4 linked regions of the Schizosaccharomyces pombe genome follow. The main gene of each other region encodes a partner of the protein of the gene in region 4 in a complex. Each region holds a gene or a part of one and is shown on either strand. Other genes may lie near its edges. The genes, in order: med14, pmc3, med20 and med1.

The links.
Region 1: med1 (region 4) and med14 share a complex: the UniProt entries of both Schizosaccharomyces pombe proteins name them as parts of the mediator complex.
Region 2: med1 (region 4) and pmc3 share a complex: the UniProt entries of both Schizosaccharomyces pombe proteins name them as parts of the mediator complex.
Region 3: med1 (region 4) and med20 share a complex: the UniProt entries of both Schizosaccharomyces pombe proteins name them as parts of the mediator complex.

Annotation. Positions count from the first base shown.
Region 1 is NC_003423.3:1,995,460-2,001,108, forward strand, and holds med14 (mediator complex subunit Med14), read right to left. Parts: upstream 3,635-5,649; 5' UTR 3,470-3,634; coding exon 830-3,469; 3' UTR 547-829; downstream 1-546. Other genes in the region: pus7 (pseudouridine synthase), read left to right, coding at 1-510; V-ATPase assembly factor Pkr1, read left to right, coding at 4,439-4,626, 4,707-4,917; sdh7 (ACN9 family protein), read right to left, coding at 4,853-4,900, 5,016-5,315. UniProt on the Schizosaccharomyces pombe protein: Component of the Mediator complex, a coactivator involved in the regulated transcription of nearly all RNA polymerase II-dependent genes.
Region 2 is NC_003424.3:4,488,393-4,492,442, reverse strand, and holds pmc3 (mediator complex subunit Med27), read right to left. Parts: upstream 2,038-4,050; 5' UTR 1,908-2,037; coding exon 1,833-1,907; intron 1,796-1,832; coding exon 1,732-1,795; intron 1,607-1,731; coding exon 1,529-1,606; intron 1,483-1,528; coding exon 1,061-1,482; intron 1,012-1,060; coding exon 829-1,011; 3' UTR 501-828; downstream 1-500. Other genes in the region: tif471 (translation initiation factor eIF4G), read left to right, coding at 1-350; sorting and assembly machinery complex subunit Sam50, read left to right, coding at 2,151-2,255, 2,337-3,659. UniProt on the Schizosaccharomyces pombe protein: Component of the Mediator complex, a coactivator involved in the regulated transcription of nearly all RNA polymerase II-dependent genes.
Region 3 is NC_003424.3:2,348,272-2,351,754, reverse strand, and holds med20 (mediator complex subunit Med20), read right to left. Parts: upstream 1,563-3,483; 5' UTR 1,429-1,562; coding exon 1,415-1,428; intron 1,373-1,414; coding exon 1,284-1,372; intron 1,215-1,283; coding exon 736-1,214; 3' UTR 511-735; downstream 1-510. Other genes in the region: ilv3 (dihydroxy-acid dehydratase), read left to right, coding at 1-384; ARP2/3 actin-organizing complex subunit Arc5, read left to right, coding at 2,485-2,630, 2,675-2,747, 2,874-3,050, 3,141-3,203; CENP-W family protein Wip1, read right to left, coding at 3,304-3,330, 3,433-3,483. UniProt on the Schizosaccharomyces pombe protein: Component of the Mediator complex, a coactivator involved in the regulated transcription of nearly all RNA polymerase II-dependent genes.
Region 4 is NC_003424.3:536,227-540,573, reverse strand, and holds med1 (mediator complex subunit Med1), read right to left. Parts: upstream 2,665-4,347; 5' UTR 2,180-2,664; coding exon 1,946-2,179; exon of another isoform or gene 1,900-1,945; coding exon 1,252-1,899; intron 1,210-1,251; coding exon 727-1,209; 3' UTR 562-726; downstream 1-561. Other genes in the region: translation initiation factor Tif5, read left to right, coding at 1-449; DYRK family cell polarity protein kinase Pom1, read left to right, coding at 2,849-4,347. UniProt on the Schizosaccharomyces pombe protein: Component of the Mediator complex, a coactivator involved in the regulated transcription of nearly all RNA polymerase II-dependent genes.

The sequences.
Region 1 (5,649 bases), on a different chromosome or scaffold from region 4:
GCACCTGATCTTCTAGAAGATTTACCTGTGAGCTCAAAATTATCAGCTCGTCCGATTGAAGAGGACGAAGTCAATAACTTTAGTATTTACGACATAGTACTTCCTTTACCTGGTCGTAATGTAATATACCCAAAAAATGAAACTTTCGATATATACAAGTCTGTCATGAATGAGGCATCACTTGATCCATTAAATATGTCTCGCAAAGACAGAGAACTTTCATTACCTGGTGATTATCGAAAACTTTTGGTGCGTCCTGAAAATATGGAGTTTAATTTCATAAAGTATGACAATATGGAACAACAACTGATTTTGACGGATAAGGATAGATTGGAGAACCGTTCTATTTCAGTGAGTTCTGAGGTTGGTAAGCACACCGCTGTTACGTTAAAATTTGTACTTCCATCTTCTGCTTACGCTACTATGGCTTTACGAGAAGCTTTAAGAACTGCAACTGCTAGTGGTGATCAACGTATGTTGATGCCAGCGGTACTTAAAGATTCAATATAAAATTTATTAGCTTAAAAGAACACAGCTTTGAATAAACTTGGGATTATGGCGATTATAATAGAAATTCATTTTACCTACGGAAGTTTTTTGCTTATTCATAAATGATTAAGCGTTAATTCGACGATCTCTAATTTACACGTTGGATTATATAAATCACATGTATCATCAATGTAACATTCACTTGTATACTTTAGAAAACGATTTTCATTTACCTCATTAACCAGACATTTTTTGCCGTATTTATATATACAATCACTAATCACTGCCACCGAAAGGAATGGACGGTGGAGGGGGTGAGGATTAAAAGCTTAATATGAGTTCATTTTTTTCGAGAGATCGCTAAAATTCTTTTTAGAATGGCTGTTAAATCAGCCGTTTTGTTCATCTTTATTAAGTGCATCTCGGGAGCGGCCTCAATCTGACCATTAAGCTCATCATCACCCAAGTCACCTTCCCAAACAGTATTAAGCCATGAACAAGGTTCCCATTGAGACGTCAAAGTCTGAGTTCCTTCCAAGTATCGGGAATCGGCAGATAAGTAGGATAAATCTTGGAGTATACATCCATGGCGATTTAAAAGAACTTGAATGCCATGATTTTTGGATAGGATAATTCTGTACTGACGCAGAGATCGAGCCAAAACAACGTAGCCCAATTCTTGAGCTACTAAAACACCTCTCGTTCTATCCATAATTACGCGTAATGGTTGAATAGCTGAGGGCCCATCAGAAAATGTATCCTGCAAAAACTGAGAAATTAGATGAAACGGACTATGTCGATTAAAAAAATGAAGGGTAAAAGTGTTGTCGTCATGAATTGTAGCCCTAAATTTCTCATCATCGAGATATGTAAAGTCCACATGCTTTAACGTGATACAATCTACATTGAATGCAGATGTTTTAGACAAAGCAACAAGTTTAAGTAATCCAATCCATGTTTTTTCGAAAGATGAAAAATTTTGCACACGAATGGTAATACGACCGGTTCTCCAATCTATGTAGCAGTTCTTTTCAGTTTCAGTCTCAGACTGATACGGCAATTTTCCTTTTATTCGGGAGTCAAAAATTAACTGCCCGTCATGCGCGCGAACGAAAACCACAGGAAGCATATCTTCATTAGACGATGGCATCATAATACATAAGCATCCTGTTTGGACGTATGTAGTAAAGTCATCTTCAATTAGGGCTTTTGGTGGAATAGGCAAATATTCAAAAGGCATACCACGAGCTTGGCAAGCAGTTTGAACATTGAATAAAAGTATTTGGACTTCCAATAGGTACGAAAGACGGCTAAAACTTTCAATACTTAAAGTACCTTTTGTAGTATGAACATCTTGGGTGTAGAGAGTTTGACCCGCAGCGTTCAACAATCTAACAGACCAAGAGTTGGATTCAACGTTGTACGCGAGTACCCATAGGGAATCGCCATCTTTTCTCCATTTACCTTTGGAGAATGTAAGATAAGGGAAAGAATAGTAACCTTGAACTGCATGCAACTCAGCACACTGGGCAACTTCTAATAGCTGCGTTTGTATACAAAAGAAATACAACCGATTCAAGATTTGGGCGGGAGGTTGCGTATTCAAAGCAATATTTTTTTCAGCAGCACGAAGATGCCTGGGAGGTGATAAAGGTGAAGCCGAACTCGACAGCACGAGCCTGCCGGTAACGCTGTTCACCTTGACAATTATTTCATTATCAAAGACATGAATTTTTAGACCACCACCAACATGTTCACTAAATATATTTGGGTGAAGCTCCTTACGGATTTGTTCCAGAATAAGTTGAGCGTGTTTTTGGGTAATTAATAATAGTAGATGCTGAGCATCCATATGATCATCTAATGGTACATGTTCAACAATGCCATCATGGTGCCATTCAACGAGTAATAAAAAATGATCATATTCACAACTGGATCTCTTAGAGCTAAGGGTACGCTCAAAGGCGGATATGGGTTGAGTATTTACAAATATATGAATATAATGACCAATTTTTCCGGGTTTTCCTTCTTTTTTCACATTTAATTGGGGCCAATAGTATAGACGTAGCCGTGGGGGCTTTTCATCATAGACACCGCGCAAATGCCCTAACCAACTTTCTCTGGATAGTTGAAAAGTTTGTTGTGACAATAAATTAAGGCGCTGATATAAACAAAATTTATGAAGGATATTATATATTAAAGGTAGGATGGGCTTTTGTAGAACGAATGCAGCAGCGATTTCTTCATTGAGATGCAATTCTATAAAAACCCGATATTTTGCGGGAGTAGAAGAAAAATCAGGAAGATGAAATTGAAAGTCAACAACAATCCACTGGAATGAAATACCGGTAGATTTAGGATCTTGGGAATTGGTTGTCAAAGACACTGAAAACTCATTGGGAACAGTAAATGTGCAACGACCATTAGCAATTGTGAAATGTTGAAATGGTGTCGGAATAATTTCATAAAGACTAAGACGAATTCTAATAAGCATGTTAAGAGCATGAAGGGTTTGAAGTATTTGTTTGGTACTTAGCGGTGATTCAGATAGCATGTATAATTTTGAAGTGGGAGCATTTGCTAGACGAAGACTCGTGCCAGTTGACAAAATATCTAATGCAGTAACTAAATCTGAGTTGCGTAGACGTGCAAATGACAACTGGTAACGAATATCTTGTAACACATGAACTAAATTCTGGAAGCAAAATTTTTGACCTTGAAGAAAGGCTACAACATCTATGCATCGATGAACTGAAGGAGATAGATGTACCCAACGCGCTAAAACTAGCAAACGCATAGTGAAAGCGCGCGAACGTAATAACCAATCTAAGATCTTTTTCTTTTTCTCGACATTTGACATAGAGGGTAGAACTTCGGCTAAAGACACCAATTCTTGTAACACATGATGACTAAAAGTTTCTACTATCTCAGGAAGAGGATAAAATCCTTCTGTAATGTGTGGAATCGCAGGCGGTTCCATCCTCAATTGGAGGAGTTAGGAATTTCGTGTAATAGCGCCTTTAATTAGCCGATCCTTTACCAAAACTAAATTTCGTAATAAACATAAGTTTTGTTCTTTTAAAAACCCTTAAAAAGGATTCTTTATATCTCTTTTACAGAAATCTTCGAGTAGCGTGCCAAAAGCAACTTCACACAGCTCCCGTGAAACTCTTCGATAACCTTCGTTACGCCATTCACTGAGATTGTTAAAACGCCTTAGGTTTATTCATTCAAAAAATTGGAATAATCAATAAATAAGCAATTTTAAATGGAATTAAATAATAATTGATCAATGATATTACTAAAATGGGAGATTTTGAATAAATTTGAGCTAGTATAAACATGCCCTGTTATGCGATAATCGCATAAAACATAGTTTGAAACTATGGATAATGAAGAATAACAAATGAGATGGAACCGTTCAAAAAGATTCTCGTAATTCTATAGTAGTTAAAAAGCCCCTTCTTTAAACTGAACGAAAATCATCATTAAAGCTGTTCAAACTTTGCTATCAATTTTAATCAGAGCTTCAGCGTGTCTCATTAAAATGATAATAAAACAGTAATTTAGAAGAGCTAAGCCGAAAAATAACATTTGTTTTGATCATTTAATTATTTTCTCCACGACCACAAGAAGCTGACAAAAAATTTTTAATATAGCAAAACAAAAGTAGAGCACTATTCCATTTGAATGATTCAAAGCTCTATTAACAATAAATTTGGACAAATGGAAGCATAACCTTCGGTTTTAATAGTAGTATAAGATATGGATTTCTTGAAATCCATTTTAACTTTTAATGAACTCCAACATCGGTCTCGTTGCTAAATTAATTCAATAGCACACGCACACTATAAAGGCCAGATTTTATCGCTAGAACACAAACGGTGGTTTAACAACGTCAATTCATAGCTACTACATTTCCAAGTAGTATTCCAATAAGAAAAAGATCATGTCGTATTGGGTGGAACTATGGGAATCAATTTTCACACCAGGTGTCACACCTGTATTGGCTAAGTCAGCACACGTAGCCTGTGGTGCACTTGTCGCTGTTTTTCTTGGACTTTATATAGGTACAAAAAGTATTCATTGTCTCATCTTATTTTTCCTGGCAATCTGTTTGTGGCTGTCGCTAACATGGTACGTTTATCCATGAGGAAGTTGAACATCTCGTTCACTTTTTTACGAGTAGTCCAGATCATTCATTAACAACTTTATAGGTTTTTGGTTGAGCTTGCACATGCTCGAGTTAATAACGATTTGCAGATGTCGTCTCAAAGTGCCAATAAAAATGACGACAACTCAAACAATCAAAATCCTTCTAATAACAAAGAGATGTCTGATAAAGAATCAGATTCCGCGACCACTACTCAGACTTTTTCTGTTCCTGAAGAGCTTTTGAGAGCTCGTACAACTGCCAATAATAGTTAGAAACTATAGGTCCAAAAAAAGAAGCAATAAGTTCAAGAGCACTGGTAAAAGTTCTCTTCTTTTAATAATAAACCTCAATCTAATATAAGTTTTCTTACCTGTCCGATTTGCTGGTCATTTAAAGATTCTAGTAGATCCGTATTACTGTATTTTTCCTGTTTCCAGCTCTCGTTTTCTAGTGCATCCGCATACCTCTCCCACGAGCTTAAAAATCCTACTAAATGCAAAGGATTTGTTACGTTCCGATGTCTTCGAAATTCCGCCTTTACATATTCATCTCCTAAAGCTCGTTCTTCTGCTCCTAGGTGATAGCGATGCGCTCTCAACACCCTTCGGTACAGAGGCAAAGGAGGTGTCAAAATATTCTTTTGTTTCATTAATTTCGTTATGTTATTCATTGGTATATGATTTTCTTTAGATACCGTCTTTTCAAAAATTGAATTCCTTTTAAGTTTCTTGTTGTGGTTGTGATGTGGAAGGCAGTTTGCTATTCATCGCATTCACACTAACAATTGCAAGGTCTTCTTCTACCAAATGTAAACAATACCACCAGAAGATATACTAGTAGGAAAAGTGAGTGTTCCTTCAATCATTTGTCTTGAAATCTTCAATTTTTAATTCCTTTTTCTTTTGAAAACATTACTTTGTGTTATCGGACTACGTAGAAAGGACTTGTCGATTTGGTATCGATTATTTGTAGTTGCTTGAATTCATTTATTTTAAGATTAAAGT
Region 2 (4,050 bases), 4.0 Mb from region 4:
TGAATCGTGGTGATTCTCGGATGGGCGGTCGAGGAAGCAATCCACCATTTAGCTCTAGTGATTGGTCTAATAACAAAGATGGTTATGCTAGACTTGGACAAGGTATAAGAGGTCTCAAATCTGGTACTCAGGGTTCTCACGGTCCCACAAGTTTGAGTTCAATGCTTAAAGGTGGAAGCGTTAGTAGAACGCCTTCTCGTCAAAACAGTGCCTTAAGAAGGGAACAGTCTGTTCGTGCACCACCATCTAACGTCGCGGTTACTTCTGCTAATTCTTTCGAATTACTTGAAGAGCATGACCATGATAATGATGGGGGTCAAAAAGATTCTAACTCAAAAACTAGTTCGTAAAGTAATCGGATTTGAATCTGTAATTTAAGTCTTTCATCTTTTGGTTTGTTTTGATTGTTTTGCTATGGATGAATCCATCATTTATCAGGGTTAACGGGAAATGGACTTTATAGTATAAGGTAATACATTCTCTACATTGTAATTGAGAAATGCTTTGGAAAATTTTAATTTCATTCATTGAGTTACGCATAGCCCAATTTACAGTATCTATATCACTAAAAGAGTAGTACTTTTGAATTTTTAGTATACAAAACCATGATATATTAAGGTATTTGAAGTTTGTAGAACAGGCTTGAGTAGTCCAACAAGATTTGGAAATTATAAATATCAAGGAGTCAGAAGACATTGAGTTTATTCCAACATCTGCATGTGATTGAAATGCACTTCTTTGAAAGTGATAATTGTAACTCAAGCTCAAAACGAAGCAAAAATGGCAATTATGAACGTCTTATTTCATTTGAATATCAAAATTAGTGTTTCACAAATCTGACTGAGCCGGCACGCATTCTGCATGTAACGCTAATATATCTTTAGAAGTAGGCTTCACTGTTGAGTTTGCGTTTCTTCGAACAGAAGGAAGCTCCAGGTACACAGGAGAAATGAGACTTTTACAAAAGTCACACGGCTTAGAATAAAGATGCTGATAATCAAGTATTTTAGGCTACACACGGTTAGCAGAGGTTTTGTCTAACAACCTCAAAAACACATACCATAAGAGACCATAAATTTCCAAGGAAGTTGTTGTTACGGTTAATTGAAAAAGTAATAGCATCGTCTTTGCTAGATGAACAATAAACACTAAATTTCCCCCTAGTATCATGAAAGAAAATAAACTCTAGCTCGTTTGCTAGTTTCAAAGTGAAAGACTTGTTTTCATGCGTTGTAAGAATAGACCCTGAAGCCTCAATATCACCTTTAAAAGACTCTATGTTTATATCCGAATTTTGGAAATTGTCATTATCATGCAATTCACTGTGATGCGGCTCCTTTAAGTCTAATGCAGACTTCCCATTAATGGATTTTGTTTCATTATTTTCGGTATCATTAGACAAATCTTCTGAATTGTATAAATAAGTAGGGAGCAAATTAGAGGAATCGGCTTGTAAAGACTTTTCAGCATAATCAAAAACGTCTGTTAATTAGCAAAAATTTAAGCTAAAAATAATTTGCATGCATACTTTGACTGGATTTAAGATGTGTATAAAAGGAATTTACTTTTTCAATCGCTTCTTGAGCACTTTTCTCAAATTTCCGACCTAATTAATTAGTACTCGAGCAAAATTTAAATTTAATATGAAAGATAATCATCATATCATTTTCCCTTAGTGTAAACTTTAACTCGTTTTTCTTAAAGAATTTAGTTATTTAAACAATTACTTACTTGTGCCGGTTTCAGGATGTAATAATTTTAAAAGGGATGGACAAATAGTTCTTAATTCAGCAAGCTAAAATTAATAAAATGTCTTCTGAAATTAGACAAACCTGTTCGTGAAGCTGATTTAAATCCAATAGCTTGTGCTTTAATTCATCTCTTGTACGCTGCTCTTCTAATGACATTTCTGGTAGCCTTAACAAACTTAAAATAATTATGAAAAAAAAATTAACAATGCGTATATTAAATAAATATTGATGGTAAATGGAGAGAATTCAAAAATCGGCACATCCAAATAGTAGATGGTAAGATGTCGGCTGTCATTAACGAACTTACATTCATCTAAAAACCTTTAAAAAATAATTCAACCCCAGTGCTATTGAGAAAGAAGATTGTTATTATATTCAAAATATAGGAAATTTGAAAATATGACCGAACAATTTGAGTCAACTTCTTTTCCATCTGACATTCCCGCCGTGAACGAAGAAAGCAAACTTTCAGCTGAGGAAACATTTAAGAGCCTTTCTGAAATTGTAAGTTAAGTTTTATTATCTAATTTTCGTCTCTATTTTTTTTTTAATTCACCATAATTTATACTAACCATCATCAATCAGTTGGCAGAAAATAGCACTTTGCCAGTGGGTATTTCTTCCATTCGAGTTACTGGTGCACATCATACTAGGCCAAGTTTCATTCGCAAAGTATTGAAAACATGTTTGGATACGTCGAAACCGGCCAAAAGTCGATCTTTGCTTGAAACATTAAATGCTATTCAAGAAACTACTGGGAATTTGATGGCATTCAACGTTTATGAAACTGCCAATATTAAAATAGATCGTGCTAGCTCTTCTGTTTCTGGAGATGATGATCTTGATGTTACCATTCAAGTAAAAGAGAAACCACGTTTATATGTAGAAACCGGCACTGATGTTGGTAACGTTGAAGGCAATGTACATGCTAATGTTCTTGCAAGAAATGTTTTTGGAGGAGCTGAACTTCTTTCTGGTAACGTTTCATATGGAACTCGTAATCGGTCTACCATGTCCGTGAACTTTGAGACCCCAGTAAACGCAGATCCTAAAACCCGTTTACGATTCAATGGCCACAGTAACTTGAGAGACAATAAATCTATTTCGAGCCATGACTTACTTACTAAAGGAATTACGCTTTCATTGCAGCATCAAGATCTGTGGTCTGGCGAGCATTTACTTTCACAAAACTTATTGTGGAGGCAAGTTACTCATCTCACTGAATATGCTTCTCCAAGCGTACGACTTGAGGCCGGTGATTCATTAAAACAATCTCTTTCCTATACGTATACACGCGATACACGCGATCATCTTATGATACCCACGAAGGGAGATTATGTGAGGCAGACTTTAGAGCTCGCTGGGTTCGGATTTCTTCCAGGAGATGCGAGCTTTCTAAAATCAGAATTCTGGGGTCAAAAAGCTGTGGCTTTAAATTCTTCTAGGTCTGTTTCTCTTTCTTTGTCCGCCCGGATTGGAGCATTGCATAGTCTAAATAAGAAGCAAGTCAGTCTGTGTGATCGTTTCATGTTAGGCGGTTCAACTAGCCTTCGTGGTTTTTCAGAAGACCGTATAGGTCCAAAAGATGGCAGGGATTCTTTAGGCGGGACCGCATATATGGCTTTCTCCATGAGCTTGCTATTCCCTTTGCCAAAAGTTGATGCTTCTAAACCATTTCGCTTACAGTTGTTTGCGAATGCTGGAGGGCTATCGAATTTGACTTCTCCAAATCCATGTGGCACATACAAATCAATACTTTCTAAGCCTTGTATCTCTACAGGCTTAGGTTTAGTCTATGCAACTCCCGCTGCGCGTTTCGAGCTGAACTTTACCTTACCAATCGCTACTACCGAAAAGGATATCGGTCGTAAAGGCCTGCAATTCGGCGCGGGTATCGATTTCATGTAATGATTTTCCTTTTTAACTTTTTACTTTAATAAGGTCTCTACTATTCCCATCTCTGACTTGTCTGTCTTTTTCTCTCATTTATGCTAATGATAAGAATGTTACGGTTGACAATTGCTTTTACTGCGTTTGAATTAAATTTTCATGCATATTTATAATTGTCATACAAATATTTTGCTTTTGGTCAAGATTTATGAATTTCACAGAATTTCAATAACCATATATGAATAAATTTAAACGAAGATAGTTACATAACATCAGAGTATCTTTTGTATTTTTATTATTAAAAGAAGATTAATAATTGCAATTAGTCGAAAAATAAACTACGACTTTAAAATGAGATAGAAGAGCCTTTAATCCTTCTTTGAAGGTCTTGCTAGCTAGAAAAAGCGCA
Region 3 (3,483 bases), 1.8 Mb from region 4:
ATTCGTTTTGAGGGACCAAAAGGTGGACCTGGTATGCCGGAAATGTTAAAGCCTTCAAGTGCTATTATGGGAGCTGGTCTTGGAAAGGATGTTGCACTTTTGACTGACGGTCGTTTCAGTGGTGGCTCTCACGGATTTTTGATTGGACACGTTGATCCCGAAGCACAAGTTGGAGGCCCTATTGCTCTTGTTCAGGACGGCGATGTCATTGAAATCAATGCTGTAAAGAACACTTTAGATTTGATGGTTGATGAGAAGGAGATGGCGAGACGCCGCAGTGTTTGGAAGGCACCTCCTTTGAAGTACCAACAAGGAACCCTTTTAAAATATGCTCGCAACGTTAGCACTGCCTCCAAGGGTGCTGTTACAGATTCCTTAGAGTAAAGCATATTCAATGCTTTTATAAGCGCGCATAGTATTTTGGAAACTTAGACGTTTAATGTTTTGGTAGTAAAGGTTGATTAATAAGCTTTTAATGCTGATTCCATAATCTCATCTAGAGTTTATTTGAATAATTTTGAATGAATAATTACTTTTTGGAGTACAGTGAAATGCATCGAGTTTAAAATGGGTTGTTATTCAAACTCCTGCATTTCTATTTTATTATTAAACATAATTGGTATCTGTAAATGTGAAAGGGAGCCATAACTTTCTGCTGACAATAAAGCAAGACTTTGACAGTTAGTTAGATAGAAATTTATTTACAGAAAAAATTTAAATTGATACTTTTTTATTCTATGTGCGTTGTGAAACGGTATCAATGCGTTGTTTAAACAACTGTAGTAGAAGTTTTGAATCCAAAGAATGACGAGGCTGGTTAAAGAAGCTTTCATAGACAGGGGTTACCGATTTATTATTTTGTAAAAAGCATTTAAGAAAGAATTCTTGAATAATAGGGCGTGCGAGATCGACGGACTCAGTACCATCGTAAGTTACATGAAAAAGTATACCCTTCCAAACGGACTTTTGTAAAACGTTGGCAATAGCCACTTTAAAGCTCCCTACTTCATATATTGAACCTTCAATAGTAAAGGACTGCCGAAAATTCCATAATTTCGTTCGCACAATGATGTCCTCAAGTTCAGGTTCTGCATCAATCATTGTCGCTTCATCCACACACGCCAGCATGCTGGGATTAATGTTTTGCTTCAAAAATTCTAAAGTTTTTGGAGTGACAGCATTTCTGTAAAGTTTATACTGAACTACCCATTTTTCTGAAATTCAAAGTTAGATCTTGAAATCATCAATCATAAGAAATAAAATCCAAACCAGTGTCAGCTTACTTAAATGTTGTGCAAAGTAGGTCCTAACCAGATTATCCTGTGCTGGAGAAAGGAACGTCGCCATTGAAGGCGATGAATAATAAATAACTCTATAATCAATCAGCAAAATAGTCAATCGGTATGCTTTTTACCCGTGAACAGGCATATTTTATAACAAAGATGAATGGTAATTAATTATGCATCTGAATATCGGTTTATACCGAATTATTGAGAAAAATGGCCGAATTAGTTCTTTTACTTCTACTGTAATGTTGATGTGAAGAGTTTAATGCGTACGGCGGTTGCAAGAATTGCTAACAGGCTAATTTAAAACCTTCATTTTCATTGTTCCTGTATTAAAAAAAAAAAGCAGATAGACATAATATGAGCTCAAATTTTATTAATTTATCTCTTGTCATTTTTATTATTTTCCAAGTCGCAAAGTATATGGCTTTTGGGTATGATAATCCCAGAGCAAATTGTTAAAAGCTTGAAGAGAATTAAGTTAACTGAATTACATTCATAATTAACTTCTGGAGAGTCAAATACTACGTAACAATGTAACTGGCTGGTTTGAGCACTAATTAAAAATCTGTTAATCCCAGGATGTTACATATGTGTCTCTTCGTTTTACTTTGAACTTTACACAAGAAACTACATAGTTCTGTCAGCAAAATAAGTCTTAAAAGTTATTGTTCGAATAGAAGTATAAACTCATACATCAATATACATACTGAAAATAGATAGAAGCAAAAAAAAAATTACTTTTAATCTTTATTCAACTAATTACTAGGCTGTATCTAACATATTTTCTTCTGAATCACCATAGGCAGAAATGTAAAATATGTAACCAATTTCTGTCTACAAGTTATTCAGAACTTTACATCTAAGACCAAAGGTAGAGATGATTATTTACAAATAAAAAAAAATAAACATCCACAAAAGAGGTCTATGGAGTACTGAAGAAGTTAGTAATGCTGTTACCAGACTTATATAGCTCCGCTCAAAAATTATAAGTTAAAGTTATAAGATTAAAAAAATATAAATATATTTTTTTGAATTTTCTTAACTTATTGGTTAAATTAATATACTCTATGAATTATAATAACTTCAGTTACAGACTTGCGTTCGACCGTTGTATGATGCCTCTTTAGAGCTACACACAGCTGAAACTTAACCTGTTCCATCGTTTTCTTTACCTTACCAGTTATAGAGTTATAAAATGACGTTTCGGACTTTGGATGTCGACTCCATCACAGAACCTGTTTTAACAGAGCAAGATATATTTCCAATTCGTAACGAAACGGCGGAGCAAGTCCAAGCAGCCGTCTCTCAACTCATTCCTCAAGCCCGGTCTGCCATTCAAACGTATGTTTATTTAAAAGAAGCAATTTTTTTATTAATTAAAATAGAGGAAATGCCTTACAAGGTTTGAAAACCTTACTCTCATATGTTCCTTATGGAAATGATGTTCAAGAAGTTAGGGTATGTGCAAACTGTACAAACTGCTTAAAGACGGTTTATATCAATTACGTTTTTATTTATTGATTAAATTTACAATTCTTCTTGATTTCATTTTATTATGGTGTAAATGAATTTTAACTTTTTTAGACTCAATATTTGAATGCTTTTGTTGATGTATTAAGCAATATACGAGCTGCTGACATTCCCGCATTTGTAAAAGAATGTTCAACGGAGGAAATTGATAATATTGTAAACTTCATTTATCGTGGATTGGCGAATCCTCAAGCCTACAACTCGTCTGTATTACTTAATTGGCACGAAAAGGTAACTTTTAGTTTATTGCTTTTCCCAACGCTCTAGCATTGCTTATCTCATGCTTTACATTTTTATTCGGTCACTAATACGGTTTTGTAGGTGGTGGAAATATCCGGTATAGGATGTATAGTTCGTGTTCTCAATAGTAGACCCGATCTATAAATATGGCTTTATCTTACTTTTTGGTATCTACTATTCTGTCGCTTATGGAACTGAATCAATGATTCTGTTTTATGTCTTCTTTCCCACATAATGACTCTTTTTATCCTTTAAATTGAGCTAGAATTTTCTAAATGGTTAGTAAGTATGTTCCATTTTAAAAAATAAAGTGCAATCGATTTACGCCTTTGCTGAAAAGATAATAAATCTAGTTTATTCAATATTAGCTTACTCTTTGAATACTTCGAACATGTTCTGGCTGTACTCTTCTTTCCCCAGTCTT
Region 4 (4,347 bases):
CTGGTGTTTCTGATGTTGAAATTTACAAAAAGATGAAGGAAGAGAATATTCATCATAAAAGTAAAGCTATTGTTGTACTAGTTCAATGTATTATTACTTCGCCTTACGTTGGGGAGTTTGAAAAGCATGGTGCATTGTTTAAAAAGCTTTGCACGACAGATAAACATGAACGTGCTCTTCTTGGTGGGTTTGAACGTTTGATGGAAAACACTGAATTAGTGCACATCGACGTTGTTCCCAAGGTACTCTTGGAGATTTATCAGAATGACTTGGTCTCTGATGACATGTTTGAGAAATGGGGAGCAAAGGCTAGCAAGAAATATGTGAGCCGTGAAACTAGTAAGAAGATTCATGAAGCTGCTGAACCTTTTTTGACATGGTTGGCTGAAGCAAGTGACGAATCTGAGAGTGAAGATGAGGAGGAAGAAGAAGAAGACGACGACGAATAAGAACGGCCTCTTTTTACTCTCTACCACAATTTGTGCTTTGAGAATTGAATAACTTACAATCCTGTTCTCTAAAATATTAAGCTGATTCTTTCAAGTTTTAGCAAATTAGTTTCTCGTAAGTTGAATATATCTATTAAAGTGTTCTGATTTTTGTAAAATAGGCTAGCCTTTTAAAGTGTTCAATTTATACTATTCAAAACATCCAACTAATTCCATAATTTCATTTTACTAAAGATTTTTAAAACTGATTAGTAATGTCTTTTTCTAGCATGAAATTCTAATTAACGACTTTCTTTATAAACACTTCTATCGCAAGTCCGATGTTACATGTTTGTTGTATAAGTTTTTGAAAAACATGAGACTGTTGTTTTGACAATTCTTTGCCACCACTAGACATATAATCAACATTCAGTCTTCCATCTGACAATACGGATAGAACAATGATAATTTGTTCGGAATTATTCAGTTTGTTGATTTCTTGATATTGGGCATGAACGATCGGATGCTCCTTAAAATATAGAGAGAGGTGAAGGGAGGAAGATGCCGCAGTCTCTGCTAAATCTGCTGATTTGATATTTTCCAAAATCAATTGTAATAATAAATATTGGCGTACAATAGCAAGTATTCCTCGAATTTGCTTGGGATGATGAAACGGTACGTGACGCAAAGAACGTGCGGAAACATCGAACCCTGTTAGCTGGATGGCTTGATTTTTATTAATGAATTTGTAGTTCACGGTTGATTTTGAAGGTAAACCAAGCTGGTGAAATTAGTTAAGTTGATATTTAGGGAAAGTACTTACCATATGACTATAATTTTGGACAGGCCAAGGAATGGTAATGTCATGGACATGAAGCAAATCAAGTAAAGGTTTGACGCCCTGCTCTGGTATTATTAAATTGATATCATCAAAAACTAGTTCCATTGTTGTAGGAATAGGTGTCAAAGTATTTTCAAGTGCCCAATTAATTTTTGATGATTGGAGGATAGGAGGAGAATTTAATAAATTATATCCGAATAACAAGTGAGGTAGCGACTCATGAGACAAATTATCCATAAAAATTTGAGTGCTATAGGTTTTATCCAAAAGCTTCCAGTATACAATACGCAAACCAAGTTGTCCTTCGTAATTACTGAGAGGCTTTCCGTTTCCATGCATTATAACATTTTCTTCTTGTGCTAGCAAAGATAATTCTGCTTCATAAATAGCATTTAAAGAAGAGGATAGTGAGTCTAAATATTGGAAACAACTTTGTTGGACCGAAGGAGAGGAGTGATCAAAGGTAGCCAACCATTTGACATTCTTTTCAAATAGTGGGGTATTGCAATTGTAAATTGCATCCTTAAGTAATTTTTCTGCAACAGGATTATTATATTGCTCACCACTAGCGTTTGCAAAAGCCAAAACAACGTTGATATCTTTTGGAGACGCATTTATGGGAACAGTGATCTAGATACTAATTAGTAAAACGGTTATGTACAGGATTTAAACTTACGTCGATCAAAATTATTTTTCCAGCTAAACTGAGGACCACTTCATTGGGTTTGGAGGAGTCTTGAAAAACCTCCAGACCATACTTTTTAGCCAAATATTCAAATCCAGTTACAGAGATATCATTCCAAGGAACTGATGATAGACAATCAATCCAATAACGCGTCCAGTTAATCTGATTGGGGTTAGAGGCGTTTCGACGGAAATGAACTTCAGAAAAGAGATGTGGTCTATCCATCGAAAAGATTATTAAAGAAGATTTAGTAAATTAGTCGTGTATTTCGTATTTAATCAGCTTAAAACACTGTATATAAGCGCAATTTTATGTCTGTTCAGCGAGCAATTTAATTTGTTCTGCAAAAAGGAAGCCTTTACTGCCATCAAACTATTTGCTAGAAACGCATTAATTGCAAAAACAAGTAGGTAATTTTGAACCGCCTAAAACTTAGTTTCAATGGGAAGGTCTGTGTGATTGATTTATCTTTATAACGAGGGTTAAAACAGTAGTTATGGGGAATTTTATATGTATACAAATGAAAACCAATTTTAAACCTTGGACTAAAAAAAACCCAAAGTATGTTCACTCAAACTCTTTTTAAAGCATCAAAATATATATGCAGTAAATCTTAATAAAATATTTTCTTTTTGGTAAAATTTGTGCACAAATCAATAAGCGTTCTATGTTTCATTTACAGCTTGCGTGCCCTTTCAGAAGTGGTTGGTATTGATATGCAGGGTGTAGCGCGGCTTTAATTAGCCACGAACGTACTGCTACTAGTTTGCATTTTAAAGAAGATAAGAGACTGTAACTGAAGGAGGGAGCTTATAGAAACAATATTTTGTTTCAAAAAAGCCAGTAAAAGCGTAATATAGTGAGAATTTTGGCTTTTTGAAGCAAAGTTTGCAAATGGGCTATTTGCAGTCCCAAAAAGCGGTTTCTCTGGGCGACGAAAATACGGATGCATTATTTAAACTTCATACATCAAACCGGAAAAGCGCAAACATGTTCGGAATAAAATCTGAACTATTAAACCCATCTGAACTTTCTGCCGTTGGTAGTTATTCCAACGATATTTGTCCAAACCGCCAGAGTTCTAGCAGTACAGCAGCAGATACGAGTCCTTCGACGAATGCCTCAAATACGAACATTTCTTTTCCGGAACAAGAGCATAAAGATGAGTTATTTATGAATGTTGAACCAAAGGGAGTTGGTTCATCTATGGATAATCATGCTATTACTATACACCACTCGACTGGCAATGGTTTACTCCGAAGTAGTTTTGATCACGATTATAGACAGAAAAACAGTCCGAGGAATTCCATACACCGTTTGTCAAACATAAGTATTGGTAATAACCCAATCGATTTCGAGTCATCTCAGCAGAACAATCCTTCGTCGTTGAATACTTCTTCACATCATAGGACATCTTCAATATCGAACTCTAAGAGTTTTGGAACTTCCTTATCATATTATAATCGTTCATCAAAGCCTAGTGATTGGAATCAGCAAAATAATGGGGGGCATTTGAGTGGGGTTATATCTATTACACAAGATGTATCATCCGTTCCTTTACAATCTAGCGTTTTTTCCTCGGGGAACCATGCATACCATGCTTCAATGGCTCCAAAGAGATCCGGTAGTTGGCGTCATACTAACTTCCATTCTACTTCACATCCCAGAGCAGCTTCTATTGGAAATAAGTCTGGAATTCCTCCTGTTCCAACTATTCCTCCTAATATAGGTCATTCCACTGATCACCAACATCCTAAAGCAAATATATCTGGATCCCTTACGAAATCAAGTTCAGAATCGAAGAATCTTTCTACAATCCAATCCCCTTTGAAGACATCCAATTCTTTTTTCAAAGAACTTTCCCCCCATAGTCAAATAACCCTTTCTAATGTTAAAAATAATCACTCACATGTAGGATCACAAACCAAATCACACTCTTTTGCTACCCCCTCTGTCTTCGATAACAACAAACCTGTTTCATCCGATAATCACAATAATACTACTACATCATCTCAAGTTCATCCCGACAGTAGAAATCCTGATCCGAAAGCTGCTCCTAAAGCGGTTTCTCAGAAGACAAACGTTGATGGGCATCGTAACCATGAAGCTAAACATGGGAATACTGTCCAAAATGAGTCTAAATCACAGAAATCTTCCAACAAAGAAGGTAGATCTTCAAGAGGTGGCTTTTTTAGCAGATTGAGTTTTTCGAGAAGTTCTTCTCGTATGAAGAAAGGAAGTAAAGCTAAACACGAGGATGCCCCTGACGTACCGGCAATACCACATGCTTACATAGCTGATTCTTCTACCAAATCTAGCTACCGGAATGGAAAGAAAACTCCTACGAGAACGAAAAGCCGGATGCAGCAATTTATTAACTGGTTCAAACCATC